Regions from separate parts of the Mus musculus genome. Here regions 2, 3, 4, 5, 6 and 7 are each reported to be linked to region 1. The links are microRNA targets in miRTarBase. Many come from high-throughput screens and were not tested one by one. Region 1 holds a microRNA gene; each other region holds the end of a gene's coding sequence.
What was found. Region 1 holds the annotated microRNA mmu-miR-34b-5p (AGGCAGUGUAAUUAGCUGAUUGU, at 1,910-1,932, shown strand). A microRNA usually pairs through its seed, bases 2 to 8, with sites in the 3' UTR of a target mRNA and lowers its output. Matches are read on the target gene's strand: a 7mer-m8 pairs with bases 2 to 8, a 7mer-A1 pairs with bases 2 to 7 and ends in A, and an 8mer does both.

Region 1 (4,067 bases):
CTACTACTTTTATTTATATTTGAACGTTTAAATGACCTTTTGTAGGATACATTATACTTTTCTCAAATACAAGAAGACTGAATACAAGATAGTTATTTACAAATGTCTTTCATAAGTTAATTTTATAATAATCTGGCATTTTCTACTTCATTTTCCTTTCACTTAAGCCTTCATAAAACAATGACTCTGAAGGAAAAAAACATTGTCTTTTACTTTCAAAGATAATGTTAAAATATACACAAGTTTATTCTTGGGAAGTTCTTGGGTTTTAATGGTTTCCACTTGGAATTTGTGTTGAATGTTCCTGATGATTGGCATATATTCATGTAATTAGTGGCATCTACAAGACCATTTGCTGGGCTTACAGGTATCAGTGTATAGCTAAGAAATGTCCCTTTGTAGACTGCAAGACTGTTGGATCAATACAAATGGGTGTCATACAGCATACAGGAAGACCACAGTCTGGGACGGCTACTTCCTACTGAATTCCACAAAGTTTGCAATCAGAGAATACTGTATATCCTCTCTGGGCTCAATTAATTAAAGGAAAGGAGAGGAAAGACTAAAGGAAAGAAATATTAGTGAAGATGGCGCAGAAATGCTGTCCCCTCAGCGCCTCCTATTCCCAATATACACAAACACGCACCCCGTTATCAGATATAAAATAGCAAAAACAAGGGGAATGTAACTGACAGAAGATATGGCTTCTCGGGCTTCTACAGACCTCATCCTTAATGTCCAAATCTACCCTTGCTTCAAGGATCTACCTGAACTCTCACCTCCTCCATGATGGTGTCTGTCAGCTCTTGTTGGCACACCTCCCACCCCCACCCATACCTGTTTTTTTCTATTAGGAAAATCTATCAGTTTAGCAACTTTATACTGTCTGGAGTAATAAATAATGTGTTCACATTTTGTTACCACCTAGACTGTCTGATGGGTAGTAAGACAAACGCCTGTTAGGTGCTGGATTTGTAACATTTAAATAAAACAGGAGCCCAAAGTGAGACTAGATATCCTCAAGGCTCACGGGGAGATCATCAAAACTGTGTCTTTGATCTTATAAGGGCCACAACTTTGACCTACCAACAAGGGTGTTGGTTCAATGTTTGACCAGAAGAGTGGCCCACACTTCACTGTATGGCCCTGTAAGAGGTAGTCCTAAGAAAGAACTTGGGTACAGGCAAGGGCAATCCTGCAGGTATGAGTGCCCAGGCCTGCTCAGGCAGGAAGGCTCCAGATGAGACGCCTGGGAAGCGGTTTCTGAGAATGGGCATATGAACAGTGAGGAGGCCTGGGGCTTCTTGGGCAATATATTGGGAAGGAGAGATGGATGTAGGTCTCTGCGCTTCTTTCTTCGATGTAGCAGTAACTACACTGTGAAGATAAACTTCTCAAGAATCTGTCTCTCCATCTCCCCGGCCCCTTCCCAGGAGGCTCTGCAGGAGCCCTCCCATTGCCCCTTCTGGTAGCTTCTGCCACCCCTCCCCCACTCGCCCCGCCCCCTCGGCCTCGGGGTTCCAAGGGCGGTTGGTCGCTGAGCCACGGTCACTCGGCCAGTAGGAGCTGCGGGGCGCGCGGGCTGGACAGAACCGGCTCTAGACTTGGGTCTGGAAGCCGTGAAGAAGTTGTTGGAGGCGGGTCAGACCCGGCTTGCGGGAAGAAGGACTCGGGCCGGATGCCCTGGGGTCCGGGCTGAGTCGGGGGTCTCGGGGGGGACGGCGGGGACAGGGGGCCTCAGCGCCTGGGGGTTCACCTGGGGTCGCGCGCGGCCCTGCTGGGTGTGGAGGGGCCTCGGGAGCCTGAGGCACCTCTCGCTCCGCCGCCCTCGCCTGTCGACCGTGGCGAAAGGGGGCGAGGGGCCCGACCCTCGGGAGCTGCAGTGGCGGGCGCCCGGTGCTCGGTTTGTAGGCAGTGTAATTAGCTGATTGTAGTGCGGTGCTGACAATCACTAACTCCACTGCCATCAAAACAAGGCACAGCATCACCCGCCGCCCGCGGGAGGAGAAGCCAGCGCTGCAGCCCCACTGACTCCGCAGAAAGCCGAGGCCGGAGCCAGGATGCGTCAGCAAAGGGCCGGGAGCACGAGGTCTAAGTGCAAGTAACCCTCGGAGACCGGCGGCCTCCTTTAGGGACCGTTCGGCTACCTGTGTGTAAGAGCCAGAGCAAAAACGGTTCAGTGATGTGTAAAGAGAATCGGTATACACCGGCCTTAACATAAAAAAAAAAAAAAAAAAAAAGGCCAGGAAGAGCCCCCCCCCCCCCCCCCCCAGAACAGTTCCTGCTGCTGCTGTGATTCACTGCCTGATTTCCACTTCTGAGAAAGCTATCACCAAGGCAGCGACTAGAGTCAACCACAGCTTGGCTGACGATTTGCTCTGGTCACACCAAAGTCTGAGAGCACCAGCTAAAGACTGCATGCTTTTTTCTGAGTCTAGTTACTAGGCAGTGTAGTTAGCTGATTGCTAATAGTACCAATCACTAACCACACAGCCAGGTAAAAAGACTGAAATTCCTCCGACTGAGCCTCCTGTGAATCGTCATTTTGGTGAGGACAGAGCCATAGGGAAATATTCTTACCATACTATTAGTGGTTTGGGGGGGGGGGGGGAACCGCTAGCCCTTAGCTGCTAAGTATACAATGTATCAATTTGTGTGGGGTACATTTTTTGTGATTTTTAGATATATTGGAAAAATAGAAATTATCCCTTAGCTGATTTGGTCATTATATTGACTTGTGATTATAAATCTTTGGACTTTGCCTGACATATTAATAACACTCTAAAAAATAAAGCGCCACGAAAATCTCAGCAATCGTGTTCATTTCCTTTCCAAAAACTGGCTTTAGGATCTCCATTTCAGCTCCTGTCAACCCCGTAAAGTCATTAAATGGTTAGTTGCTATACAGACAAAATCTCCAGGGAAACGTCTCACACATGATTGTGACCTGGAAGGGAACGTTAAATGTTTTCATAATTTTCCATGGGGCAAGGGAACTCAGCCCACTTAACCAGGTATATTTTTTAAGGTATTAACAGTTGCGTTCTAGGCAACTTTTCGTGGGAATAATTAGTGAACACGATTTAAAACCAGCTGGTTTCCTAATATCTGTAATAAAAGATTTGAGAGGTTTTAAATCACACAAGCTGTATCCACCGGTACTTCTCGGCCCAGTTCTAGATTAGCGCTTTATGCAGATGTATCAATGCAAACCTGAGAATTTCCCCAGAGGTAAGAGTGCGAAGCCTTGGCAATCTTGTCCAAAAGAGGAAGGCGCTCTTTAAAGCTCACATTATTGGGCTATCTGGGGGAGGAGGAGACGCTGGCTGAGGATCTAAGAGACAGTCCAGGACTGTACACATCACAAAGTTGAGGCTTTTACTCTTAAGGCTTGACTGGCCCCGAAAATTGTGACCTCGACAGAAGCCAGCTGCTGATGGGCCACAAGCCCTCGAGGAACCCCAGATCTACGGAAGAAGAAACACAGGCATTCCGGTGGTGGCAGTTACCAACAGGACGGTTCTCCGGTAGGGGCGGGACGCCAGAGCTAAGGAAAGCGTCCTGAGTCACCATGGAAACGGGGCCCAGAGGCTGTCCTAGCGGCAGGAAGGAATCCCAGGAAATCTGCTCCCCTGGATTACTGGTGTTCACCGGCTGCTCTGAGCAGGATGCCAATTTGGCTAAGCAGTTTTGGCTCGGGGCGTCCATGTACCCCACTACCGAATCTCAGCTCGTGCTGACCCGAGGCAGCAGTCAGAGGCTACCGGTGGCGCGGAACTCTAAAGTCGTTCTGAGAGGTGAGTAGCAAGGCTACCTCCTGGAAGGGGAAACTGCCTGGTCTAATTGTCAGTCAATTGAGAAGTACAAACAAGCAGAAACAGGCAGTAATAGGTATATGCAAATACACAAACAATTCTAAAACTGCTGCAATTCTCCACTGTAAAGGATCTCATTGTTACATATAAATTCATTCTAGAGCTGGAGAAATGGCTCAGCAGTTAAGAGCACTGACTGCTTTCCAGAGGTCCTGAGTTCAATTCCCAGCAACCACATGGTGGCTCACAACC
Region 2 (4,067 bases), not on the chromosome of region 1:
GGGTCGATTAGCTTGATTATTTTCATTCATTGCTTTTGAAATGCATCCTGTACTAAATAGTGGAGAGCAGTGAAAAAACTAACAAAAATCTCTGCCCTATGGAGCTTAAAGAATACAGACAGATAAATTAAACTAAACTACCCCCTCCCCCAAACACCAAAAGCAAATGCCAACTAAGAAAAAAACTCCCACCCCCAAGCAATCTAGGTATAATATATAGCATAAATTTATGATGGATTTTATGAAGAAAAATATCTTCAAGTAAAGAATGCTTGGACACTGGAGGGGGAGTCTGGCATACTTGGAAGAAAAGTGTTACAGGTAGAGGACATAGCAGGAGTCCTAAAAGAACACCACCTTTCAAAACCAGTGCATGCTGTCAGCCATACAAAGACACAGTGCAGTCATTGATATACAAGCCAAATTGTATAAACATTGCTGTTTATGTAGTTAAACTACTGGTGGAGCAGGGGGATCGGGTATAGGGCTTAACTGCAGCCCACTCCTGGCAGCGAGTGCTGCGTTAGGGGCTATAGTAACAGGGCTCTCCTATTGCAGGCCACAGAGATGCTGGTTCATAATGCCCAGAACCTCATGCAGTCTGTGAAGGAGACTGTGCGAGAGGCTGAAGCTGCTTCAATCAAAATCCGAACAGATGCTGGCTTTACTCTGCGCTGGGTCAGAAAGACTCCCTGGTACCAGTAGGCACCTCGTCAAATCTGGCTGGTACATACACCTCTGCTAAAGAGAAGAGAACCATCTTGAGTTCCAGAAGCCATTCAGAGTTGTCAGGAATGGAAACATCAATCCCTGGCTTCACACACCAGAAAGGAACATTTATACTCTTGTCATGGGCACTTTGAAATGTGTCTCTCTATAAACCCTGTACTTTCAGTTACTATGCGCACTCTCTCCCATGGATTTTACAGCAGCTCAGAATAAGCGTGAACACTAGCCGGAAGCCCTGCTCTGCCCCGGGGGTCATTTCTGTGTTTACGGTTCACCAACTCCCTTTCCCCACTATAGGCTCTCAAGACCTAGAGCTGAGGCAAGTCTAAATAACTGTGCTTCCAAAGTTATTTTGGGTTTCCCCCCCTGCTGCTGACCCTGCCTACCTTCTCTGGGCTGTGCATCATTGCTGCAGGAAAAAGTGGTCTCTGGAGAGTTCTAGCTTGTGCGGCCTGGATTCATTTCCTGCTTTCTCCCAGTGTAACCCTAGTTCCTCACAATGGGAAACCAACTTTCACTGTTGTGAGGAAATCATTATTTCTGTTTTTACCATGCCACTAACTAGTATGTGTTATGGAAACTTCCTGTCTCACATCCTGCCTTGTTTGGTTGCCAAGGTAACCATCCTGTAAACACACTGGTGCTCTGTCACTAGAGGAACAGAGTCACTGGGGTGTTATCCTGCCCATCCTCCCAGTGGGGCCACTCCCAGATTTTCTATGCTTTGTCACTGCCAGTAGATGTCTGTGCTGAGGCCTTGGCATTCATTCTTCGCCCTTATTTTCTTTAATTTCTGAGCTGAAGTGCTGCATTTACTTTTAACCAAATCATCCTAGGCTTTGGCAGTCTTCTTCTGTATGCTTCTTTAAACAAGACTTTAAAGATACATAGGTATGTGTTTGTCTGTAATCCCTCCATCCCCCACTTTTTTCTTTTTTTTAAATTTTGAGACTGGGTCTCTTTATGTTGTCCAGGCTAGTCTTGAACTTATGGATTCAAGTGATCTACCTGTGTCAGCCTGTTAGCTCCTACCACCACACTTGACTTTGCTTGTAACTTTGAAAGGTTCATTCAAAATTGAGACTTAAGAATTAGGGCTTGCTCCTTAAGAGACTTGAATGGAAAGGCAATCTTGTCTGGGAGACTAGCATTTGCAGATTATACTTCTGGTGCTTCTAGGGAAAAATCAGTAGGAACTATTATAGTTCCCAGTTGCTTTTAATCAACTACAACCAAGCATTTTTCATCCTTCCATAAATACGAAGTATTCAAGAATAATGAGTATGGTATCTATTTATCAGAAAGGCATGTTTCCTATTGGGCAAAGTTAGTGTAAAAGTGACTTTCCTTTTTTTTTGCATTTATCCTGGCTGTATAAGCATTTCCCAGTATACAAATGCTTCTTTCAGAAATCAGGAACCAGACGAATACAGGAGTGAGGCCTTCTTCCTGGATGTTCTTCCCACATCTAGTATGTCCAATCCCAACACTGAACTTGTAAATCTTAAGTTGACCCTGAATACTCAGGCTCCCCCTATTTCTTTTTGCTGATAAAAGATTCTTTTCAAAGCTCTCAGCAGATCTGTATAGTTGCTTACCTGATATAAATGCATATCAATGCCTTTAAAGTATGAATCTATGCCAAAGATCATTTTTTGTCTTACTAAAGATTTCTTAGAGGAACTAAGAAGAATCATGTTTATTCTCCAAGTTCCTTCAGTTCTGGAGACACATGTCCACCAGATGTGCTTTCTAGTGTCAGTGCTTACAGTACAAGGAGGCAAAAGGAAACAGTCCCTGAATGACGTGTTAGAGATGCCACCACTAAAAACTATGTTTATAAGCTAGGACTTATATGTAAATGTTTCTGCCTCTTCTTTTGTTCTGTTTAAAACAATAAAGTACATTTATATGAATAATGCTCTAATTGAGGTTATTTTACTAACAACTTTAGGTCAGACTTATTTTGTATTGAAGCTAATTCTCAAGGTCTGGAAACCAACAGCTTTATTCAATCCATAAAGGAGTTATATAATAGTGTAGTTACGTAAGAGGGTCTGCGTGATCAAGAACAATCTTGGCAACAATTCTAGCTAATGTATTCTTATACATTAGAAGGAGAAGAAATCACAAGTTACCAGTGGGCAAAGCAGCCAAATGTAGGTCACCTCCTGGCTAGAGACACCCTAATTTTAGTAGAGACCACCAGTGTCCCTTAAAAAGCTGAAGTTGTGAAATGTGAGGGACACTTTTGTTTGTTCCCAACCCCAGTACATAGCTATGGGTGTGAGGCAGAACTAGCTTTGAGGACATAGTCCTCCTCTTGTTTGAGGAAACACTGACTAAAATAAAAAAACAAACAAACATGCTTTTTTGCCTAATTTTCTAGAACTGAAGAAGAAAAAGAAAAGGTTAAATAATACCACAGGGTAAACTTTCCATTGCATTGACTTACAGAATGGATGGCAGCCTGTGTTCACGGCTGCTGAATAGACTTGGAAATCCCTGCAGCCTCTATTTGCTGTTCACCTTGTTCACCGGAACTGTGTGCCGCAGACTCTGCAGTTAGTTGTATTTTTAAGCAGTTGCTTTTAAGGACAACATTACCAGCATCTTTCCAGTGTTCTTCTGTAGCACCTTTAGGAAATGAGGCTACCAGCCGAATTCCACTGGGGGGTGGGGGTGGGGCTACCTCACCCAGACAATAAGTATCTGTTTTATTTACTCTTAGATTATGATTTCTTAAGAACAACAGAAAAAAGGAGAATATGGTGGCTTACCCAGAACTCTGTTTAAAAAATCTTTTGATACTGGGTTTTCCTGGGTCTATATTGAAGTGGTAAGGAAGATAGCTTTGATCATTTTTATCACGTGGTCTGTTACCAGAAGATGAATGGTTGTAAATATGCTCTATTCAGGAAGAGGCCTCTTCAATGTTCTTCAAGCAACTGTAACATTTTATGATACAGAAGAAACTGATCCAGTGCAGCCTGCATTAATACAGCCTGAATATGAGAATATTCCATCAACAATCAAACTTTAAAAATCATTTGGTTGCTCATATATTTATTGACATGATAGCCAGAACTAGAGAAAGGGCTTATTAGGGTCTGTCAAATTAATAAATACAACAATTTAACAGTAAAAGAATTCAGTCTGCTTAGCTACTTTAGCAGAAATCCCTGGAGACAAGAAACTTAGACAAGAAGATGCACAGGAAGGAAGCTGTGCGGTCTAGGTATGGTCGTGAGATAAAGGATGGTGAAGAACTAAAACTTATGTGCTTGCTTTTGAGGTAAAAGAACAAGATACTAAAACTAGAACTAGATCTTAGTCAA
Region 3 (4,067 bases), not on the chromosome of region 1:
CTGATTCACAGAGGGCTATGCCCTTGAATGGGCGGTCATATGGTAAAATGGAACAGTGGGACCCAAAGAGCCATCTCAGACAAAACCACCCTCTGCTGAGAAAACAAGAATGTGGGTGGGGAACTGGCTCTTTCTCATTTCAAGGTAACCAAGTTATCAAAGTTGCTAAACTTTTCCTGGCTTTGATCAGTATGTTCTCATAAGGAAAGGAAAACTGTAAAGTTGTATGCCGGCTGCCTCTTATGTTCCCATTAACGGGAGTCATGTTTTATGAACTCAGGTCAGACCCATTAGAAGCAATGCATTTCCAATACCATCAAGACCCCCACTCCTGGAACCAGCTTCTGGATCGATGATTGCTGGCACACAGCGCTCATGGCTCCAGTGTCCAGCTCACTCCACTTCTCCCTCGGTCCTTGATGAGCTCATTCTGAGGGATGAGACTGAGCTGACTCAAGCAGTGTCTGGGCACGCAGAGGCTCAGAAGCATCCAGCGGAGCCACCCAGGCAGGCAGGCAGGCAGGCAGGCCAAGGATACACAGCATACAAAAGAGGCACCGTCTGTCCTTCACTGTCTGAAGCAGCTCTCTCAGCATTCACTTCTCCAACTACCAGGCAGGGGTAAGAAAATGAGCTTGCTTTGCTCGCCCCAAATTCAAATACAGTTTTAAAAAAAATGGCCTTGAAAAGAAATCTGTCTTTCACAGTGAGTCAACCCACAGAAGAGCAAAGTCACTTACAGTGAATTCTCATTAAAATAAGAAGTCAAGAGCCTCCTCCCCTTTAGCAAGCTACCATCCGTAAGGAGTGATTTGGGGAAACAGGCATGAGGGTCTCCCAAGACCTACAAAAATTGTATAACTGAGTTTACAGTAAAATATACTAGGTATAAATTTCTGAAGGCTTTTGTTGTTAGTGGTGGGCTTTGTTTGGGGGGTGGCCAGCCTGCACCCCCAGGACAAGCACTTACTGCCTCTGAGGTGCATTCCCACCTCTTCAGGATCTTCAAGTTCTTTGAAAAGAGACAAATTTTACTGTATTTATAATTCACAAAGACAAAAAGGTTCCGTTACAAAGTTTCTTATACCCTGCAGCTCTAACCACAGCTCAGATACTGCTCATTTTTCTGTCACCTTCTACCAAGTGAGGTAGTTGTCACTTTAGGACAATTTAAGGCTATGGGGAACATTGGTTGAAATAACTAACTGGCCACCTGGAGAGGTGTCTCAGCTGACATTTTGGATGCTAGCAGTAAAGCCCAGGGTCTTCCAAAATTACATGTTAAAAGCGGGTCTGAAGAAGCCCTAAGAGCTTCCTGAAAATACCACCTTCCTCCTCGATGATCCTAAGACAATGAGTCTGATGCTGTATTCCTGAGTGAGCACCGACCTCCCTGGCTGAAGGAATTACACACATTACACACTTCCTCCAGTGCAGTGGTGAAGATCACAATGAAAGAACCAAGCAAACGGCAGAAACTTGAGAGTCTGTCCCTCGTAAATGATCCTGCCAGCTTCTAAGAGATCTGCAAAGGCAAGGGATTCGGAAGCTAACATCACTGCAGAGGCAGCGTCTCTACAGAAATGGAACTGTAAGTAAGTAGAGTAAACTCAGGGGATGTAGCTGATGCTAACAGCTGAATGGGCACCAGAGGCAGGCAGTACACCTGAAGGTCTGTTCTCTGCCGTGGAAAAGCGTGGCAGTTACAAAACTAAAATTGCATAGAAAGAAACTTAACAGATGGTTGTTTAGGGCTTATAAATGATAAGATCTGGGAGCATGCTGGTGGTTAGGAAGGCTGAATGAATAGAATGAGTACATAAAAAGAAGACAAGGAACAAGGAGATAAGGTTGATTTTGTTGTGGCGATAGCGACCCAATCAGGGCCTTGCATGCTGAACCAGTAAGCATTCTACCACTGAGCTATATGCCCAGCCCTGGAACAGTTTCCTGACTATAGTAACTCAGAAGGTATGTGATCTGACTAGGGGGGAGAAGGGTGTAAATAAGACTTCTCTGCCTAGCCATAATGTAGGAATCAAGGTAAGGGGAACATTTATATATAAGAAACAAGAAATTTGACATGCCAGCCAGTGGTAACATACTTTGGCAGAGGCAGAGGCAGAGGCAGAGGCAGAGGCAGAGGCAGAGGCATCTCTGTGAGTTCCAGGCCAATGTGCTCTCTAGAGCAAGTTCTACGACAGCAAGGGCTATGCAGAGAAAATGTGTCTCGAAAACCAAAACAGAAGAAAAAAAGAAGCTTGGTATACCAGCACAGGCTTAAAATTCTAGCAGTGTAAAGGCGAAGGTGAAAGGATCAACCTGAGGTACAGCAGCAGGCCCCAACCCAGAAGGAAAAGTCAAAACAGAAATACCAGATGCTCAGGGACTCTCAAGTCTGAGGTACACAGTAGGAGATATGGAAGAACCTCAGTGTTAGGAAGAAGGCAGCGGCAAATGAGACAAATTCTCAACTGTGCACACTCTACAGGAAAGGGGACACACCATTCCTGAGTGGGAAAAGTCAATGGTGAGAAACGGCAAGAAAAAAAGCCAATATCAAATATAATAAAAAGCTTAGGAAACCAAACCTACAGAAGGGCAGCAGACGTTCTCCTAAATGCAAGCAAACTAAAAATCAGACTGTGAGCATTCAAGGCTCAACAGCAGCAGCTCCAGGGGTTTCACAGGTAATAAATATCTGGGGTCAGTAGGGTTTGTACTCTGGAGCACTTATTGGGTAAAGAACATGACTTTCTTGCACTTAAAAAAATATATTTGTTTAAAAAACAAGATAGGTAACAATCTATTTTTTCTTCAATATTTAAATCATTCAGGATTATTATAAGGATCCAGTGAAATAGAGCAGACAGAAGTAAAAAATGGCTCAGACTTATAGATTCTCTTTAAAAGATGCAGCCTCCATTTGAATGCATTACTGCACTTAATACTCATTTTTAAGGGTCTGTCACAGTGACAGAGTTGCCAGAACTCAGCAAACTTTTAAACAGGAGCTAGACTGTTGTGGGCAAACAATGACTTCAGGAACCGCAAAGTGGGCCAAGTGCTCAAATGTCAGAAGCGAGCTGCCGCAGCCCTCAGTGCCTCCGCCACTCTTTCCTCGAAGAGGACCAGCCTGAGGTACACACCAAAAGTACTGCCAGAGGGTAACCCACTCAGCCCCTCATTCCAGCAGAACTCCTGCACCCGCTCCAGGCTCTTATAAAAGCCTGGGAGAATCACACAGCACTTACAATGTGGCCACACCAAGGTACCATGCCAGTCTATATGAAAACAACAGACTGCTATTTAAGTCAAGAAATTGTTCTGTGTGAAAGTGGGGTACTCTGAGCCCTCCTCTTCTGAGGACAGCTCCTCATCCTGGGTAAAGATGCTCCCTAATCCATACTCCTGTTCGTGAACAGAAACTTCATTTGGCGTGAGGTGGAAAGAACCTTCCACAAAGTCAGCAAATCTGCAAAAGAGAGGGATGTTTGTGAGGAAGCGCACGTCTGTCCTTCCTGAACGGCTTTCAAAATAAGAACAGACTAAAAGGCTCAGTGTGCCTGTAGTTCAAATTATACCGAATTTAACAAAGTCCTGCCCTTGCTTCGGCAGATGCATAGACTGAAGCAAGAACTAGGCACGAGGCAAGGCTGGGATCCCAGGCCAACATGCTGGGCACTCTCGTCCTGCTTGGCACTAACTACGCTGTCCTTGTCCTGGGTAGTTACGAAGTGCTAAGGTTCCCTGAGTCACCATAGACCTGATAAGAAGAGACTGAGCATTACAGTTCTCTGCACTTATGGCCCTATAAACTTTATGCTATCATGATTCCAAACTGAAACTTCACATACTCTTTGGTACAACTGCTCCCAACCAAAGGGGGGTGGGGGTGGGGGTGGGGACTCAGACATTAACGTCAAACACACAAGGGCCACACTTAAATACGGTACTGAAGTCTTCACAAGTTAGTGATATAACCCCAACAGTGAGGTAGCTGCCTGGGGAAACAAGAAATAGATTACTACTTTCTCTTGACTACTGCTCCTAGGTGAGCAATAATC
Region 4 (4,067 bases), not on the chromosome of region 1:
CCCTTCTTTGAAAGCCCCCTAACTGACTGCACCAGCCCTTCCTTTGACGGACCCCTCAGCCCGCCGCTCAGCATCAATGGCAACTTCTCTTTCAAACACGAACCATCCGCCGAGTTTGAAAAAAATTATGCCTTTACCATGCACTACCCTGCAGCGACGCTGGCAGGGCCCCAAAGCCACGGATCAATCTTCTCTTCCGGTGCCGCTGCCCCTCGCTGCGAGATCCCCATAGACAACATTATGTCTTTCGATAGCCATTCGCATCATGAGCGAGTCATGAGTGCCCAGCTTAATGCCATCTTTCACGATTAGAGGCACGTCAGTTTCACTATTCCCGGGAAACGAATCCACTGTGCGTACAGTGACTGTCCTGTTTACAGAAGGCAGCCCTTTTGCTAAGATTGCTGCAAAGTGCAAATACTCAAAGCTTCAAGTGATATATGTATTTATTGTCGTTACTGCCTTTGGAAGAAACAGGGGATCAAAGTTCCTGTTCACCTTATGTATTGTTTTCTATAGCTCTTCTATTTTAAAAATAATAATACAGTAAAGTAAAAAAGAAAATGTGTACCACGAATTTCGTGTAGCTGTATTCAGATCGTATTAATTATCTGATCGGGATAAAAAAAATCACAAGCAATAATTAGGATCTATGCAATTTTTAAACTAGTAATGGGCCAATTAAAATATATATAAATATATATTTTTCAACCAGCATTTTACTACCTGTGACCTTTCCCATGCTGAATTATTTTGTTGTGATTTTGTACAGAATTTTTAATGACTTTTTATAACGTGGATTTCCTATTTTAAAACCATGCAGCTTCATCAATTTTTATACATATCAGAAAAGTAGAATTATATCTAATTTATACAAAATAATTTAACTAATTTAAACCAGCAGAAAAGTGCTTAGAAAGTTATTGCGTTGCCTTAGCACTTCTTTCTTCTCTAATTGTAAAAAAGAAAAGAAAAGAAAAAAAACCAACAAATTGCACAATTTGAGCAATTCATCTCACTTTAAAGTTTTTCCTGCTCGCTCCCTAAAATAGAAACCAGACCCATAACACTCAAGAGGATGAAAACCGAAATGCATTCCTTATCAAAACACATCAATTCATTACTTGCACAAGCTTGTAAATACATATTATAAATAAATGCCAACACACACTCCTTTAAATCAAAAGCTGCTTGACTATCACATACAATTTGCACTCTTTCTTTTTAGTCTTTTACTTCTTTGAATTCCATGATTTTACGGAGTGTTTGAAGATATTGATGTTTCCAGAAAATATAAATGCATGATTTTATACATAGTCAAACAAATGGTGGTTTGTCATCTATTCATGTAATAAATCTGAGCCTAAATTTATTCAGGTTGTTAATGTTGGGTTTTTATACCTGTGTAGTCAGTTAGTACAGTAGTTTAAATAAAATTCAAACCATCGAATTCATAATTAGAACAATAGCTGTTGCATGTAAAATGCAGTCCAGAATAAGTGCTGTTTGAGATGTGATGCTGGTACTACTGGAATTGACATGTACTGTAATCTTGTTTGTAATCCTGTGTATTATGGTGTAATGCACAATTTAGAAAACTCCCATGCAGTTGCAATAAAAATAGTATGGAAAATCAAAACAATTGTTTCATTTCTTTCGAAAGTGGATTTTAAAGAGTAAAATTGTAGCGAGGAGGATCAACGTCTGTATTTGCTGAGTTAAATGTTAAACATTAGGAATAAAATATAGAGTTGAGCTTGTCCTGTGCTTAGTCTGTTATCTTGCTTAGAGGGTCACTGGCTTCTCAGATAACAAACAGACCTCGCCTCTGTTTTATTATTTGGAGTATTGAGCACAGAGTAAGCTGGACAAAAAACTCTGGTTTTCTAAAGGTGAAACGTCTTCACCTTTACTCTCTTTGTTTGTTTGTTTGTCTCTGTTTGTTGAAATGATTGTTAGAAGTTTCTTTTATTTTTCAGGCGGATTTACTTAAGTATTAACTAGCAAGACATAAGCAAATACCTTAGTTTAATTTGTTTATACATATTTAAAGCATAAACAAAATTGAATATTTTCTCACTGTTCTGTTATCTGTATCTTTCCTGAACTAGATAGCTTTCTTTCAAACAGTCCTGCACTCCAAACTATATATCTGATATTGTAGGAAAATTATTTAATTAATTGAAAGGCTCCCAAAAGATGAGGCATTTTATAATGGTTCTATTAAGTGTTTGGGATGTCTTCACTAATTGTTCCACTAAAGTGCTAGTGAGCTTTTGGTACATAAGTATATACTATTTGTGTTCTATTTTAGGAGTGTATATTACTCCACAGTTTTCTGTACAGTCCTGCTATTTTATATTTTGATTTTATAAACACACACACACACACACACACACACACACACACCACACCACACCACACCACACCACACCACACCACACCACACCACACCACACCAACTTAACTTCTGGTAAGTCTACTTAATAAATAGTTTGGCATTTCCCTTCCCATGAGAAATGACTGACAGTCTTGATTTTTATGGAATAGCATTTTGGCAGTTGTATTGTCTCTACTGTGATTCTGATTGCTGTCATTGTTCCTTCTCTGATTCGGATACCACATTGGATGCCTACCTCCCTTGCAAGCATGTTCCTTTAATCTCCTTCTCGTTGGTGGCTTAAGGGTTCCAGAAAACTGACCTTATTTAGTAAGCTGCTCCAGAAAAACGTGAGTAATCTAATAGACAGGAACAATTAGCCATAGTAATAACGTTGCCAACGAGGCCCCATCAAGCTGTGACAGTAGCAGTAAGGGATATTTCAACATTCAAAAAAATTAATGTAATTTAAAATAATGTTTTCTACCAGCCTTTATCACACACAGAAATACATTAAAGCTGGTCCCAACTTTACCCCAAATGTAGTTGTCTCTTTCCAAGTGAATCAGAGCAGTTATTTTGGAATCAAGCTGTTGCTTCCTAGCCTGGATTTTTCTCACCATTGACTTTAGGAGACACAATACTGATAGCAGAATCCTTCAGCCTCCCAGCACAGGAAACCATAAAGTGAACATTCAGATCTGATCTGATCTATTAAGCAGCTCAGTTTCACCTGTAATTAAAATTAGACATCTCCATGCAAACTAAAAACTGTTGCTAGAGTCAACAGAAGAACCAAGGGTGGTGTTTCTAGAATCACAACATTTAAAATGGGAAGCAAAAGAATCTAGACTATGGGTTTCATTAGAGGTAGGCGTGAAGGATGAAGGCTCTGCTTCACTCTTTTTCTTTTTCATTTTGTGTGTGTTTAAAATTTCACTCTAAAGGCGTAGGGATTCTTTCAGTCAGTCAGGGAGTAACTCACATGCCACCATCTTTTATTCAAAGGCAGGCACAGATGTTCCTTCTGCAGGGAAGGTTTTAATTTATGAAAATGATATTGTTTATGCATGAATGAACTGCATGCACCCTGCATAACGCATAGCACTTCCATCTGATCAGAGAAATACCACCAAACCAGCGCCAATGTCAGAAACATATTCTACACATTTACTCACTCAAATGTTTAATGAATATTTGGAATGCATTTTCAAACCATAAGAAATCTTTTAAATTATCTCCTTCATTTCTTTTATGAATTGTTAAGCACATTTTAAAGATACTTTTACAGTCTTTATGTTTGCTTAATCCTTATGTGAAGCTAATAAAAAACAGTTTTTTTTTTTTTGTGAAAACCAAGAAAAGAGGGGGGGTGAGCTGATAGCTTTGGACCAAGAAAAATATTTCATGTGGTTTGCCTATGTGGTGCTTGATATAATATTTGGGTTCTATATTCTTGTTCTTCGTGAGCAATTGATGTTCCTATCCTAGAAAATACAGCTTTGTAATATTAAAACACCTGGAAAACTTATTTCTAGAAGAAGCTGGCAGATTATTTCATAGTAGGAGAGGAATTTTAGTTAAATATTTTAACTACTGTATAATTCTTATAGAATAGGACTACTCCATAAAATTTAAGTTTTATTTTTATCAATTTCAATGTTATATCTATATCTATTTTTAACTA
Region 5 (4,067 bases), not on the chromosome of region 1:
GCTTCTGACTCAGGAGAACTTGAGGGACCCACCTTGAATTTGAATTGTATCCCATGCATTCCCACTGTCCGAGCAAGCTGGGAAGCAGTGTGCCTTACTTCCTGGAATTGTTACTTCCTGGGGACCTGACCGTTAGCAGGCTTAGTGATAGTGGCTTTCTTTTCTCTCTCCAGTTTCACTCTCATCAGCTCTTCCACATCTTTGTGGTTGCTGGTGCCTTTGTTCACTTCCACGGAGTCTCAAACCTGCAGGAATTTCGTTTCATGATTGGCGGGGGCTGCACTGAAGAGGATGCACTGTGATACTCTCCAGGAACCAGGGACTCTGACCCTGAGCCAGGCCTGCAGGTCCTGCAGGCCTTCTTACTGGCTGTCGGTGCCAGTGCCAGAGAAGCCCCAAAACTTGGACAGCCTCATGGGCCTTGTGTTGGCCCAAGGGCTCCATGGGGTACAAGACTAAGAAGAGAAAAACAAAAATAAATCATACCTCAAAGGATGGAATGCATCGATTAGGAGAGAAGGAGAAATGGCTCATCCCCTGGCTTCCTCTTGGGATCTACCGATTGAAAGCAACTCTGCAAGACCCTCGCCTGACAGGCTGGCTTCTGATGTGATCGTATTTATTTGTAGAAGATGGGGAAACAGTTTAGTTGGTGGTCTTTCTTCTCCCTTCCTTGCTCCTTGCAGCAGTAACATGTATGAGTACCATGCACCAACTGATCGTGCCATTGGAGCTCCTTAAACAGTAATCACAACCAAGTTAGGGGAACATTTGTATCCAATAAAGGGGTGGGAGTGCGGTTTTAGGCACTCCTTTGGGAGAACAAAGAAATTAATGTAAATAAGATTTCTAATTTACTGTTTAAATAAGAATTTATATAAACATTTAAGACATAGGGGCAGGGAGGGAGGGAGACTTTTTTTAAAAAGAATGAAACATGCAAGTACCACACACTGTTTCAATTTTGCACAAGTGATGGGAGGAGGATGGAGTGGTAGCCCCAGAATGCACGATGTCTTGGTGCACCAAGGTGCCTTCCCTAGGCCGATAACACTTGGACCCTGCTGGGGCAGAGTGGACAGCCCCAGCCCAGGAACTTCCTGGCCACTCTCAAGACTGAGAGCCTTTGGGCATTCAGAGGGGGAGGGATGTGGAAGTCGTGTGTGCTTTTCAATGGAAGCAGCACAGGTTGTCATAGTGGCTCTAGAGAAAGTGTCATTTGGGAGACTGTTATGTAGGCTAGTGATGACCCTTTTGAAGAGTGAAGCCACCTGGTTCTACTGTAGATGTAGTAGAGACTTGATGAAGGGGAGGAGGACCTGGGGGCATCAGCATAGGAATGGTCTGCTTCTCCCTGGTGTCTCGTTTGACCAGGTGGTAGTTCTTATCTGAATAGAGGTATGGCCATTTTCCAGACCCTCTCTGTGGAGCTCTGAGCCATTCTGCAAATTTTGCTCTATTGAGAATCACTGCCCTAACTGTCCTTCCTCCTGGAAATCAAAAACTGCCCCCCCCCCCCCCCCCCCAGCATCAAAGCTCCTTCGTGGAGCCGGCCACTAGTGAGATTCTGATGAGCATGGGTCCCACCTGAAGTCATGCAGGCAGGTGTGGAGGACCATCCCTTGGACTAGGAATGGTGGCGCTTTTCTCTGGTGCAGGCTTGGCAGGCTTGGCATGACAACAGATTCTTCTCCCGTTGAACAAGAAAGTCAGTAATACCTACTGTGGAGTTGTTAGCACGCACTGAATGCCATTTGCAAGACCTGTGCTACAGAGTTGAAAAGGAAGTGGACTGTTATTACCAGGTAGTCGGATAGAATTAAACCCACAATTTTGAATTGCTGCTAGAAGTTACAAATAATTTCTTTGTCCTAGGGCCTTCTTGTTATGGGTTTTAGAGAGTGGCAGTGAGTTGGGTCTTGGCTCCTAAGTGAGAAACCAAGCACTTGAGTCTCTTAGACTCTAGGCCTCACTCCTTGGGGCTGGTGGGTATTGCAGTGTAACATGGGCCTCGGGCATCCCAAAAGGGGTGCTGGGCAGTATGAGGAGGTCCTGTTTTTACAGTAGTGTTTTCTTGGTCGTCGTTGTCCTTCCTCTACCTTCAGATCGCCACCCAGCTGCAGCTGGGACCCAGGAAGGAGTCCATTGAAAACCTGGGAAGAACTTCAGAGTATTGGGTTGTGGATAAGGTCACTGCCCTAGGTAGGCCCAACAGGAAGCTCTGGGTGAACAGCATTGTGCCAGACAACTAAGAACAGTGTTAATTCCTCAAGAAGCAGTTCATCAAGACAGTGTCCATCCGGAAGGAAGCTCACCTAGGCTTGTGGTAGCAACAGCACATATCAGCAGCCAGACGCACTCTCTGGTCGTGCACTTTGGGACATGAGTTTGAGACGCTTCCTCATGACACCTACAGGAGTAGAGGTCTTTGGGACTGGTCATCCCTCTTCCCAAAGCAGGGAGACTCTGGTTCAACATAGCACAAACTCTTAGGGAACCGAATCACCACCACCACTGTAGTCCAGTAACTTCCCTTCGGTGTGTGTGTGTGGGCATGTGTGTGCCCTGTATGTCTGCGCAGCTCACTACCAACAGCCTCCATGTGCACTTGACCTTGTGGTGCCTCCGGGAACTTTCCAGGTTGGCACCTGAATGCCTTACTCTCAGCAGTCTGAGGCTCGCTTGCTCTGCGCACACGTTTCAGTCTCCTTTTTTGGCCCTAGGCTGGTTAGGAACCTGTACACCTTCACTCTCTCATCATTAAATAGTGGCCTTTTTCAGTATTTCCTCTCTCCCCTCTATAAGTTGCTGAAATCACAAAGCACACTTTTGGGGATCATAGAAGGTTGGGGTTCCAGAAAGGCATCTCTGTGATGGTTCCATTCACTATGGGGATTTCCCTACTTGCTGTCTTCTTGATTTCTCTAATAAAAAGAGCCAAATGGAAAATGAGTTTTGTTGTGTTTTTTTTTTATTGTTGTCCCCCCCCCCCCTTTAAAAACTTACCTCACTTTTGGGATATCCTTAATATCCTAATTTAGTCAGGAAGTTTAGGGAATTTTTAGAAACTTCCTGCCTTCAGGAGGTTGATGCAGGAGGATCATGAGTTTAAGGCTAGACTGGGCTTACACAGACCTTGTCTAAAAAAGGTGAGCTTTCTCTATACCTGGTTAAAGTGACCATCAAGGCCTCAGGGCTGTGTGGAACCTGACCACATGCACTGGGCCCCTGTATTTTGTCCGCTCCATTTGCAAGCCACTTGAAACCCTCAGGGTGGTGCTGCTGTAGCCCAGGGACAGCCTTACTGGGCACAAGCCATCTGATACTTCCCCACACCCAATCTAAGTGCTCCATGGCTGGGCCCCTCAGAAACGACTGAGGGAGACAGGCTGCAGCCTCCTGCCCTATGGCCACACTAGACTCAGAATTACGAGGCAGGTGCACATCTGCTTCATCCTGTTGTTTGCCGTAGGATATGACTCATTACCTTCCCTGGTTCCATATGCTCTCACCTGTCAGGTTACCTTTTACAGCCTTCCTGATGCATGGTTCACCATAAAGAGTATTTCGGAAGCTGCCGAGCCCTTGCTCTTTTATATCTGAGCCCCTCTCAACCTCTCTGCTTGCTTTTCTGACCCTAGGATGTGGTCACTACTATGTCCCCTGAACCAAAACTTGACGTAGCATCACAAAATGCTGTTGAAGCCTTTTATTTGAGGTGGTTCTACTCTAGCACATAAGCTCAGCGGCACATTCCTGGTGCTTCTGACAGGGCTCCAGCTCTTGTGGTTGAAGGCAACACAGATAAGGAAAGATGCCAGAATGCTGCATTCCATTCATTTAATCTCGGGGGTGCCAACTTCATTCCTCTAAAGTCAAGGTGCCAGATCTTTCACCTAATCCAGACTGCAGTCTTCCAGTGTCTTGGTGGAGTTATGATCACTCACTGAGGAGGGCTTAGCTTGCCACGTCATGTCTTGGCCATCCTCCTACATGTCCTTTGGCGGCACTAGTCTCAGAATTGAGAGGCAGGCACACCTTGGGAGATACCTGGTGTCCATGGTAGG
Region 6 (4,067 bases), not on the chromosome of region 1:
TCAAAATTGAATATTTCATCTTGTTGAATTCATTTTGAGTTTGGACTTATACGCTTATTCAAAGTGTACCTACCCTGAAATAAGGTACTTAGAGAATGTAAGTATTTCAAGGTACTGTTTTTATACAGCATAGAGTAAAACATAGCGAAATTGTTTCAGATTTTTGGCTAATCATTTCAACGAGGTCCCTATAACCAAGTGACCAGAAACTGGCTGCTCCTGTTGGATGGGGGAGAGAGCCTGATCAGGATTAAAACTCACCCTAAGGCATGAATTTGTGATATTGAGTGATCAGCTACTCATCTTGGCATATTACACAGCCCATACAGACTTTCATTTTCCAACATTGTTCTCTCTCTCTATTTTGTATAGGTACACAACAAAACATTTGAATGATGAGACTACCTCCAAGCAAATTAGGTCCATGCTGCAGTAAGAGCTGTGGAGCAAGCCCCTACTGCAGATGGAGCACACAGTGTTCTTCAGTGACCGAGAATGCACAGTCTTAGTGAATGCCATCAAATCTCCTTATTCTTGCTTTGGTTTCTTTCCTCTGTTCCTCTTCCCACTTTTTAAATCATGTTCTTGTTCTTAAGACTTCTTTTCTGTGCCAAAATCAGTAAAGTTATACTTTGAAAGGGATTTTGTCCTTTCAAAACAGGCCATCTAAGGCAGCTAATTACGCATTGCATTGAGGTCTCTACTGAGAAAAGTTCTGTGACTTGAACTAAATATTTTTAAATGTGGATTTTTTTTGAAAACTAATATTTAATATTGCTTCTCCTGCATGGCGAAACTGCCTATTCTGCTATTTAAAACCCTCATAAATTTATTTTCTACTGCCGCTTTTTCATGTGCAGCCAAAATGGAAATGTTTAAATTAACTGTGTTGTACAAATGGTACCCAACACAAAACCTTTTTTAAATTAGTAAGACTTTGTTTAAAGTTTTAAGTTTGCAGGTTGACTTTTTTTTTAAGGTTGTATGTTGTGTGTTTAACATTTATTAACTAACGTTAAAAACTGTGATGTGTGCGTAGAATATTACGTATGCATGTTCATGTTTAAGAATGGCTGTTGATAAAATAAAAATCAGCTTTCCTTTTTCTAAGTGTGGCTTGGTTTACTGAGGTTTCTGGAAGTTTTCCCTGTATATATTTCTATGGAATGCATATACACATTACATAATTTTTCTTTCTCTTAGGCAATAGCTATGTCTTTTTCAGTTGTTTTGCTTTACTTTTTGTCTATGTACATAAGTTAGACTGCTTTTAAAACTGTTGTGTATAAGATGACCAGTGATTGTGTCGACATTAACTTGACTTCTGTTCTGATTTAATCTTTGTGAGCGTAGTCATAGAAGGAAACCCGTACTTTCTCAGCTCTCGGTTTCAGGAATGAAAGGGCGGTGACAGGAAGCACATGGTGTCTCGAAGGCACGAGGAGCCCTTGACATTGGAGGAGAGTGAGCAATAAGAGTACTTCCAGAGGAAATAAATGAAAGTCCGAGATCTCACTGGTCGTAGGAAGTGACATGAGTTACAATTTAAAATCATAAAGCCCAAGGCAAAGAAATGTGTCTCAGTTGAGAGAAGCTGCTTGAAAGTTGTCGAATTCAGCCTTGTCAGGGACTTAATGACAAGGTGACCTGAGGTGGGACACAGTTAAAGTGCTTAACCATGGGAGATGATCACAGGCTGCCCTCTGGACCCTCTCCATCAGAGCGCCAGATTGTGGTGCACACGGCACTTGATGGTAAAGTTCCTGTTGACCTCTCTGGCCTCCTGCTTACTCGTGTTCCACTTCCTACCCTGCTCTCCAGCCAAGCTTAACTACTTGCTGTTTACAGATTGTTCCGTGTGGTGTTGCTTCGTAACTGATCTGGCTACAACCTGAACCTGGTCTTCCTTCTTCTCTCCTTCATGTTTGTCTGACCAACACCAGCTGTCATCTTTCAAAAATCAGCTTCTTTTACTTCCTCCAAAAACCATTTAGATGACATTGGCCATGTCTTCCAGGAGGCTTCTACAGTGTTATAATGGGTTTAATAGTTTACTCCATAAAGGGTAATGTCTGGAACCTGTACATATGGCCTCATTTTGAAGAAGGGCATTTTCAGGTGAATGTAAGGACCTATGTATGTATGGCATCGTCCTGGATGAGAGTGGGTCCTAGCCCTACTGACAAGTCCTTTTAAGAGAAAAGAAGGGGAAACAAGCAGTGGAGGTCCTGGGAGGATAGAGGCAAAGGTAACATCATATCTTGAAATTTCCTGGACCACAGAAGCCAGAAGAAGGTCATGGAACACTTTCCATCAGAGTTTCTAGAAGGAAGCGACCCTGTTGCTGTTTTTATTTCAGACTTCTATTATGATGAAAAAAATAAGTTTCTATTCTAAGCCACCTAGTTTGTGGTAATTTGTTACAGTCAACTTAAGCATTGAATACAACTGTCTCACAAAACAGCCTGATACATCACTACACTTTTATATCTTCTCTGATACTCATGAGAAGTTACAATGTCTAGATGCTGCAGAGACTGAGAACCTGAGAAGAGCCATGTCTTATTCCTTCAGTGTCTCAAGCAAGGATCTTGCATAGTACCTAAATATGGAGAGCTGCCAAGTGAGTAATTGAATGGAGTGAGTGAGGACTGATAAATGAAGTAGATGTAGTAATCCTGCTGTGGCCTTTCAGGTAACATGGTTCACACTCTGCATGTTGAAGATTAAGTTGGCAAAAAAATCTTTAACTCTAGCCTAGGGGTCAGTAGCCCAGTCGGTGGGCCAATTCACCTCCCTCTGGACCTACACAACCTGTGAATTAAGAATGATTTTTAAAATGTCGGGAGAATAAAGGATAACAAATGTTTTTCTAAAAGTTGAAAAATATTTTGTAGCATGAGAAAAGTATATGAAATTCAAACTCCAGTGTTCATAAATAAAATTTTATTGAACATAGCCTCATTTGTATATATATATTATTTATGGCTATTTGCTCATTATAGCAGCATTGAATCAAATTGTGACAAAGATCTTTTGGCCATCAGAGGCTAAAGTATGTTCTGGCCCTGTATAGAATTTGCCAGTCCCTTTCCTTGAGAGAAGACGTTGGTTTGACAGCCTGGAGTAATAGGGCACACTGCTGCAGTGATGGAGGAGCTGCTGCTGGGCAGTGAGCTCAGCCTCAGGTCTGCTAGTTTCCATTCATGGAATCCAAGAGGCATGTGGGCATGGTCATCATTTTTTTTTCTCTGCTTAAGAAACTGCCTTTAGAGTGAGTGATTCTGTGGCTGGGCACAGCACAAGCCTCAGCAAAGGGTCTGCGTGTCCACTGTACAGAAGTTGACCCTGCTTTGCAGATACTACAAAGCTTGCCTCCTTTTGCCCCTCTGCTTTTCTTAAAGGATGTTTCTATCAGCATATATCCCAGCCTACTTTTGGACCATGTGCTCCTGGTTCAAAACAGGGTAAGCTACCATATCTTCTAGCAAAGCACACTCGTGATTATCTTCATCCTCTCCTTCAGTCCCTGTCATGGATGCATGGTGCTTTCAACTTCCATTTGCTCACTTCACAAAGATTTAGATTAGCATTTTGGGCCACCAAGATGGCTGCAAGTATTTTAGGCTGATGAAGATAATTGGCATCTGTGTGCTCAAATCTTAAGTTTCTGAATTGAAGTACTTTCTTAGATTTGAAATGCCTTTCTGGTTCTGTTTGAGATTTCAGTAACTGGCATGCCAGAAATTCTTAAATAGCCCCTCAACTGAGTGTGTAATCACAGACGACAGTGGAAAGACTTGTGGGTTCAGAACCCTGAGACCCAAGATAGCCCTGCACAGGAATAATTGACCCCAGGCCACCAGGATGTCTCAAAAGTCCTGTCAGCAAGGTCGTAACATGGTGAAATTACAAGGTTTATTCAATGAGCTTGAGTGCATTCAGCACTTGGTGTGACTTTGGTTAAATATCTTGTCCCAAAACAAGAAACAGTATTTCTTTGGAGTGGCCACAAGAGGTCATCTAGTCAAAGTGTGGCAAGTTTGCAGACCAGGGGTGCTCAGTGT
Region 7 (4,067 bases), not on the chromosome of region 1:
CAGGGAACTGCAGGGCACCTGGTTTGGAAATAGATGTCTTCAGTAGGAGTGAGCCATCTGGTCAACCTTGCCAGGCTTCTCCTAGCCCTTGGATCCACATCTTCCAGGGAGAGAGGCTGACACACATGGAAATGTTTAATTTGAAGAGAAGTAGTGGGCTGGTGAGATGGCTCAGTGGGTAAGAGCACCCGACTGCTCTTCCGAAGGTTCGAAGTTCAAATCCCAGCAACCACATGGTGGCTTACAACCACCCATAATGAGATCTGACTCCCTCTTCTGGAGTGTCTGAAGACAGCTACAGTGTACTTACATATAATAAATAAATAAATAAATCTTTAAAAAAAAAAAAAAAAAAAAAAAAAAAAAAAGAAGAGAAGTAGTTGTTCTCCCTCCCAACACCCATTGGTGGTGTAGGGGAGAAGACTGTATGATTCATGAGCAAAAAACAAGCAGGAGAGGACTGTAAATGCTAGGGATGTATTTGACAGCAAATTGCAGACTTCTGGTTCTTCCAGGCACTGACCTTAGACTGCTGTTGTATTGTTCTCCATGGATGCTGGCCTGAAGGCTACCTCTGAAGGCTCTATCTAGATGGACCTGTATAATGTCTGCCTGGTACCTGAGATCTAGCCTCTGCACTTAGTGGCAAATGTTATCTAGGAGTGGTCAGAAAGCTGTCTCCCAGATAAAGAGATTCACACTCTTAAGAACTGCAGGTGCGGCAAAGCACGGGGGACACTGGTCTGGCATGGAGGCACTCTGATTAGAATAATAGATGAGTCCGGGGATGCCCACGGTCCTCAAGAGATCAAAGTCTTCACTGCCAGGTTAGTCCATTATCTGCTGAAACTAACAGCGCATCGGGTGTGTCTCAGCACCTCAATAGATCGATCACATGAGTGAATGGGTGGGTGGCCCTGGCTCATGCGCTGGAGACTGTTCCTCATTGTGACTCTCAATATTCCAAAGAGTCACAAAGTGCCCTGGGGACTTGGAGCCTGAACAGGGAACATTTGTTTATCCCTAGTGGAAAACATGAACAAAAGCCCATGAGTCCACACCGTCTGGGACTAGCTCCCATGCAGGAGGCAGCCGAGTTTCCCACCCCTCAGGTAGAGAAGAACGGTCCAGGAGGCAGGAAGAAGTGCTGGGTGTGAAGAGATGGCCTGAATGGCTCAGAGATGGCAATAAATGCCTTCATTCTCTGGCCCCTGAGCACAGAGCTCAGAAACCCTGGGCAGCTGACTCCTAAGAGTATGTAGCTGGCTGCCTGGGCAACTGCCCACCTTGTGGCTAAAATCATCTCCAGAGGCATTTCAGTGTCTGTCAGAGCTAAATGTTTAAAGCCACAGGTGTGTGTTTTGACCATCTCCTCTTTCAGCTATGGGCTACAGAGCCTAGCTGAGCCCCCAGGGATCCCAGAAACTGTCTTTAGTCTCTTATGTTATTGCACCATGCCGGATTCCATCTGTCCTGGAGTTGGGGTGGAGATGACCTAGTGTTGTGCACCTCCTTCTGCATCCAGCAGCCTTCAGGGTGCTCTCTGGCCCACACTCCTGGTTCTAATAAAGCATCTTGCAGATCTAGTCAGGTCCTGATTCATCTCTAGTCTACTGAGGCCCTGAGGCCACAGTGGAGACAGAGACCAACAAGTGGCAAGCCTACCTACTAAGGGTATGGCATAGGGGGCTGTAAAGAAGTATCTGTCCCATACATCCGAATGACGTGGGGACCCTCTTGGGGCTCTAAGGAGGTAGTTTGAGGACAAATAAAAAGAGCACGGAGCAAGGAACCAACTCGTAGCTTGCCAGTTACACCAGAAGGTTTTGGCAGAGCCAGTGTGTCGCACTCAAGGTACGGGGCACAATTTCAACGGTTTTGTGGGATAGCATGGTGGTGATGTGGTGTGGGCTTCCTTTCCCAGCATCAAGAAGACAGGGGCAGCAAAGCTGTACAGCTGGGATGATAGCCAACTCCAGCCACGCCATGCTCTCCTGAATGCAGCACAGGATGGTGGCCGCGGGCACCTCAGTTTGCAGCTTTGGGCATGACCACTCCAGAAGCAGCAGGCTGGGAGCTTTGAGACCTCCTGGCAAGAGCCGACAAGTGACACTTGGCAAACATGTCTTACACAACATTACAGAAAAGGCAAAGCTTGAAGGGGCGTGGGCCTGAGCATTCACTCTGCAGACTCAATCCTGTTAGGTGGGAGGGCAGGGTGCAAGCCTCAACCGAAAGATGGGATGGCTCAGGCTGAGAAGGCCAGGCTGAGATGGGCTGGCCCAAAACAGCAGGAAAACCACAAAGACCGGCTAGGATGCTGTTATGTCAATGTTAACCATGGTGTTCTCAGCAATGCGTTCACCTTCTCCCTGGGAGCCCTAGCCCCACGGAAGCTCCTGATGAAATTCATTTCTCAAATACCAGACAATAAAACCCAAGTGTGACACTATCTTGGGAGAAGGCAAATTCAGGAACCTCCCACCTGGGATCTTACAGCCTGAAAGAACGCTTTTACCAAACACAGTTTGGAAAATACCAATGTGCTGCACCCAACCCGACTCCTGTGCTCCCACAGAAGCATGGATGGCCTGGCTTTCCTGTTTGACCTTTGAACACTCTCCACTTTCTTATTGACATATGTATGAGAACAGCTCTCAGCAAGGCTGTGGGGAGCAGGCCTGGGCCCACTAACCTGATCCGTATGGATTCCCGGATTCCCTGAACCCATAGGACTTCCTGTCTCTTGCTAGGTGTGCTAGTGACCCAGCCTGGTATGACTTCAGAGCTGTGGGTCTCCGCTGAGCAGGCCTCTCCCCAGTGGAAGCCAGTTGGCAGTGGTGCCAAGACTGTCTTGAACTCATTCATTTTCTGGGGATAACCCACAAGTTCTTAGCCTCATTTGTTTCCCAAGAGCTCAGGTGTAACATCCTTATACACTAAATTGAGTATGTGTGTGTGTGTGTGTGTGTGTGTGTGTGTGTGTGTGTGTGTGTGTGTGTGTAGGGAGTTGATATTCCTGGTCCTAAGAAGCCTTTACCAAGTGCAGAAGTGAGATCCCAGGCCCACCCTTCCTGAATCAGACTGCAGAGTGAGTCGGCCTGCTATACTTCAGGTGCAGGCATTGAGTGAGGCAAGGAAGCAGCACAGAAGGGAGTGGAGATGCTATGGGCGGCTGGGCATGAGGTAAGGTCAGCATTCCTCTAGAAAGCAGATCCCACCTCTCCCCGGCTGCCCCGACACCTCGCCAGCCAGAGCTGTTGGACCGGCTTTGGATTCCAGGGGCCCCTCTCCGAGGCAGCTCTCTCCTCCAGTTCAAGGACACTAGGAGATCCGGCAGCAGCCGTGAACTTTCTCCTCCATCTCCTCCATGGGGGCCTTGAACTTCAAGAGCGGGGGATCTCCGCTGGTGACTGTATAATACACCGAGGTCCCGTTGCTGCTGTAGGGGGAAGTTCTGCCTCCAATCAAGGGGGCCTTGCCTTCGCTGCTGCTCTCCCCCGACCTGGCCACGCTGCTGCCCAGGTGGGTGCTTAAGAATGGGTGACTGAGCAGCTTGGCTGCGGCCCTCTGCCTCTTCAGCTCCAGGAGCGTTTGGGGGCTCTGCTCCTTGAAGCCACTCCAGGGTGGGGGGACATCAGCCACGCCAGGGTTGCCGTAGGCCATGCTGTAGTCAGGCATCTCGTGCATCTTCCATATGTCCCCATTGGCCAGCGCATACTGGTAAGTGCTGACAGGAGCCCGGAGGCCATTCTCCACAGGCCCATCCAGTTCTCCCCGTGAGATCTTGGTAGAGAATTCTGAGAGCAGCACGGGCTTCTCCAGCCTGGGGTTCTGGGGGACAAGAGGATAGCATCAGTATCATCGTTCAGCTAGAGGGTCTGTACCCACCAGCTACCTGCACCTCTGCTGAGGGACACCCAATCTCTACCTGTTTCTCTACTCCTATGTAGCTCTGGGGCACCAGGCTCTGTATGGTAGGGCAGACCAATGCCTATCCCACTCCCAGGGTTGAAGTGTGACTCCAGGCTCGGCTAATGAGCATATTTTATTGCCAACGTCTTGGG

Region 2: miRTarBase lists Vcl as a target of mmu-miR-34b-5p. Seed matches in the 3' UTR shown: 8mer at 1,458-1,465.
Region 3: the mRNA of Nemp1 is a reported target of mmu-miR-34b-5p. Seed matches in the 3' UTR shown: 7mer-A1 at 1,698-1,704.
Region 4: the mRNA of Neurod1 is a reported target of mmu-miR-34b-5p. The part of its 3' UTR that is shown has no 7-base or 8-base seed match.
Region 5: the mRNA of Adipor2 is a reported target of mmu-miR-34b-5p. Seed matches in the 3' UTR shown: 7mer-m8 at 1,468-1,474 and 7mer-m8 at 2,192-2,198.
Region 6: miRTarBase lists Cyrib as a target of mmu-miR-34b-5p. The part of its 3' UTR that is shown has no 7-base or 8-base seed match.
Region 7: the mRNA of Ppp1r16b is a reported target of mmu-miR-34b-5p. Seed matches in the 3' UTR shown: 8mer at 2,833-2,840.

The regions. Positions count from the first base shown.
Region 1 is chr9:51,101,475-51,105,541 of GRCm38, reverse strand. It overlaps Mir34b (microRNA 34b), which reads left to right and starts at 1,897; the gene lies at 1,897-1,980. It overlaps Hoatz (HOATZ cilia and flagella associated protein), which reads left to right and starts at 3,464. Exons shown (of 6, transcript NM_177702.4): 1 at 3,464-3,797. The coding sequence starts at 3,572. Mir34c (microRNA 34c) reads left to right here and starts at 2,432; the gene lies at 2,432-2,508. It also overlaps a transcript of Btg4 not described here.
Region 2 is chr14:21,031,029-21,035,095 of GRCm38, forward strand. It overlaps Vcl (vinculin), which reads left to right. Exons shown (of 21, transcript NM_009502.5): 21 at 559-2,648. The coding sequence ends at 705. Ap3m1 (adaptor-related protein complex 3, mu 1 subunit) reads right to left here. Exons shown (of 9, transcript NM_018829.4): 9 at 2,714-4,067. Among named protein-coding and RNA genes, the nearest start is that of Ap3m1, 19 kb to the right of the region's middle.
Region 3 is chr10:127,695,636-127,699,702 of GRCm38, reverse strand. It overlaps Nemp1 (nuclear envelope integral membrane protein 1), which reads right to left. Exons shown (of 9, transcript NM_001113211.1): 9 at 1-3,475. The coding sequence ends at 3,310. Among named protein-coding and RNA genes, the nearest start is that of Myo1a, 7.6 kb to the left of the region's middle.
Region 4 is chr2:79,450,209-79,454,275 of GRCm38, reverse strand. It overlaps Neurod1 (neurogenic differentiation 1), which reads left to right. Exons shown (of 2, transcript NM_010894.3): 2 at 1-1,639. The coding sequence ends at 312. Among named protein-coding and RNA genes, the nearest start is that of Neurod1, 4.4 kb to the left of the region's middle.
Region 5 is chr6:119,352,035-119,356,101 of GRCm38, reverse strand. It overlaps Adipor2 (adiponectin receptor 2), which reads left to right. Exons shown (of 8, transcript NM_001355692.1): 8 at 174-2,952. The coding sequence ends at 302. Cacna2d4 (calcium channel, voltage-dependent, alpha 2/delta subunit 4) reads right to left here. Exons shown (of 38, transcript NM_001033382.3): 38 at 3,695-4,067. Among named protein-coding and RNA genes, the nearest start is that of Lrtm2, 23 kb to the right of the region's middle.
Region 6 is chr15:63,927,985-63,932,051 of GRCm38, reverse strand. Cyrib (CYFIP related Rac1 interactor B) reads left to right here. Exons shown (of 13, transcript NM_001360036.1): 13 at 373-2,958. The coding sequence ends at 436. Among named protein-coding and RNA genes, the nearest start is that of Gsdmc4, 18 kb to the right of the region's middle.
Region 7 is chr2:158,761,121-158,765,187 of GRCm38, reverse strand. It overlaps Ppp1r16b (protein phosphatase 1, regulatory subunit 16B), which reads right to left. Exons shown (of 11, transcript NM_001159662.1): 11 at 1-3,834. The coding sequence ends at 3,325. Among named protein-coding and RNA genes, the nearest start is that of Fam83d, 4.9 kb to the left of the region's middle.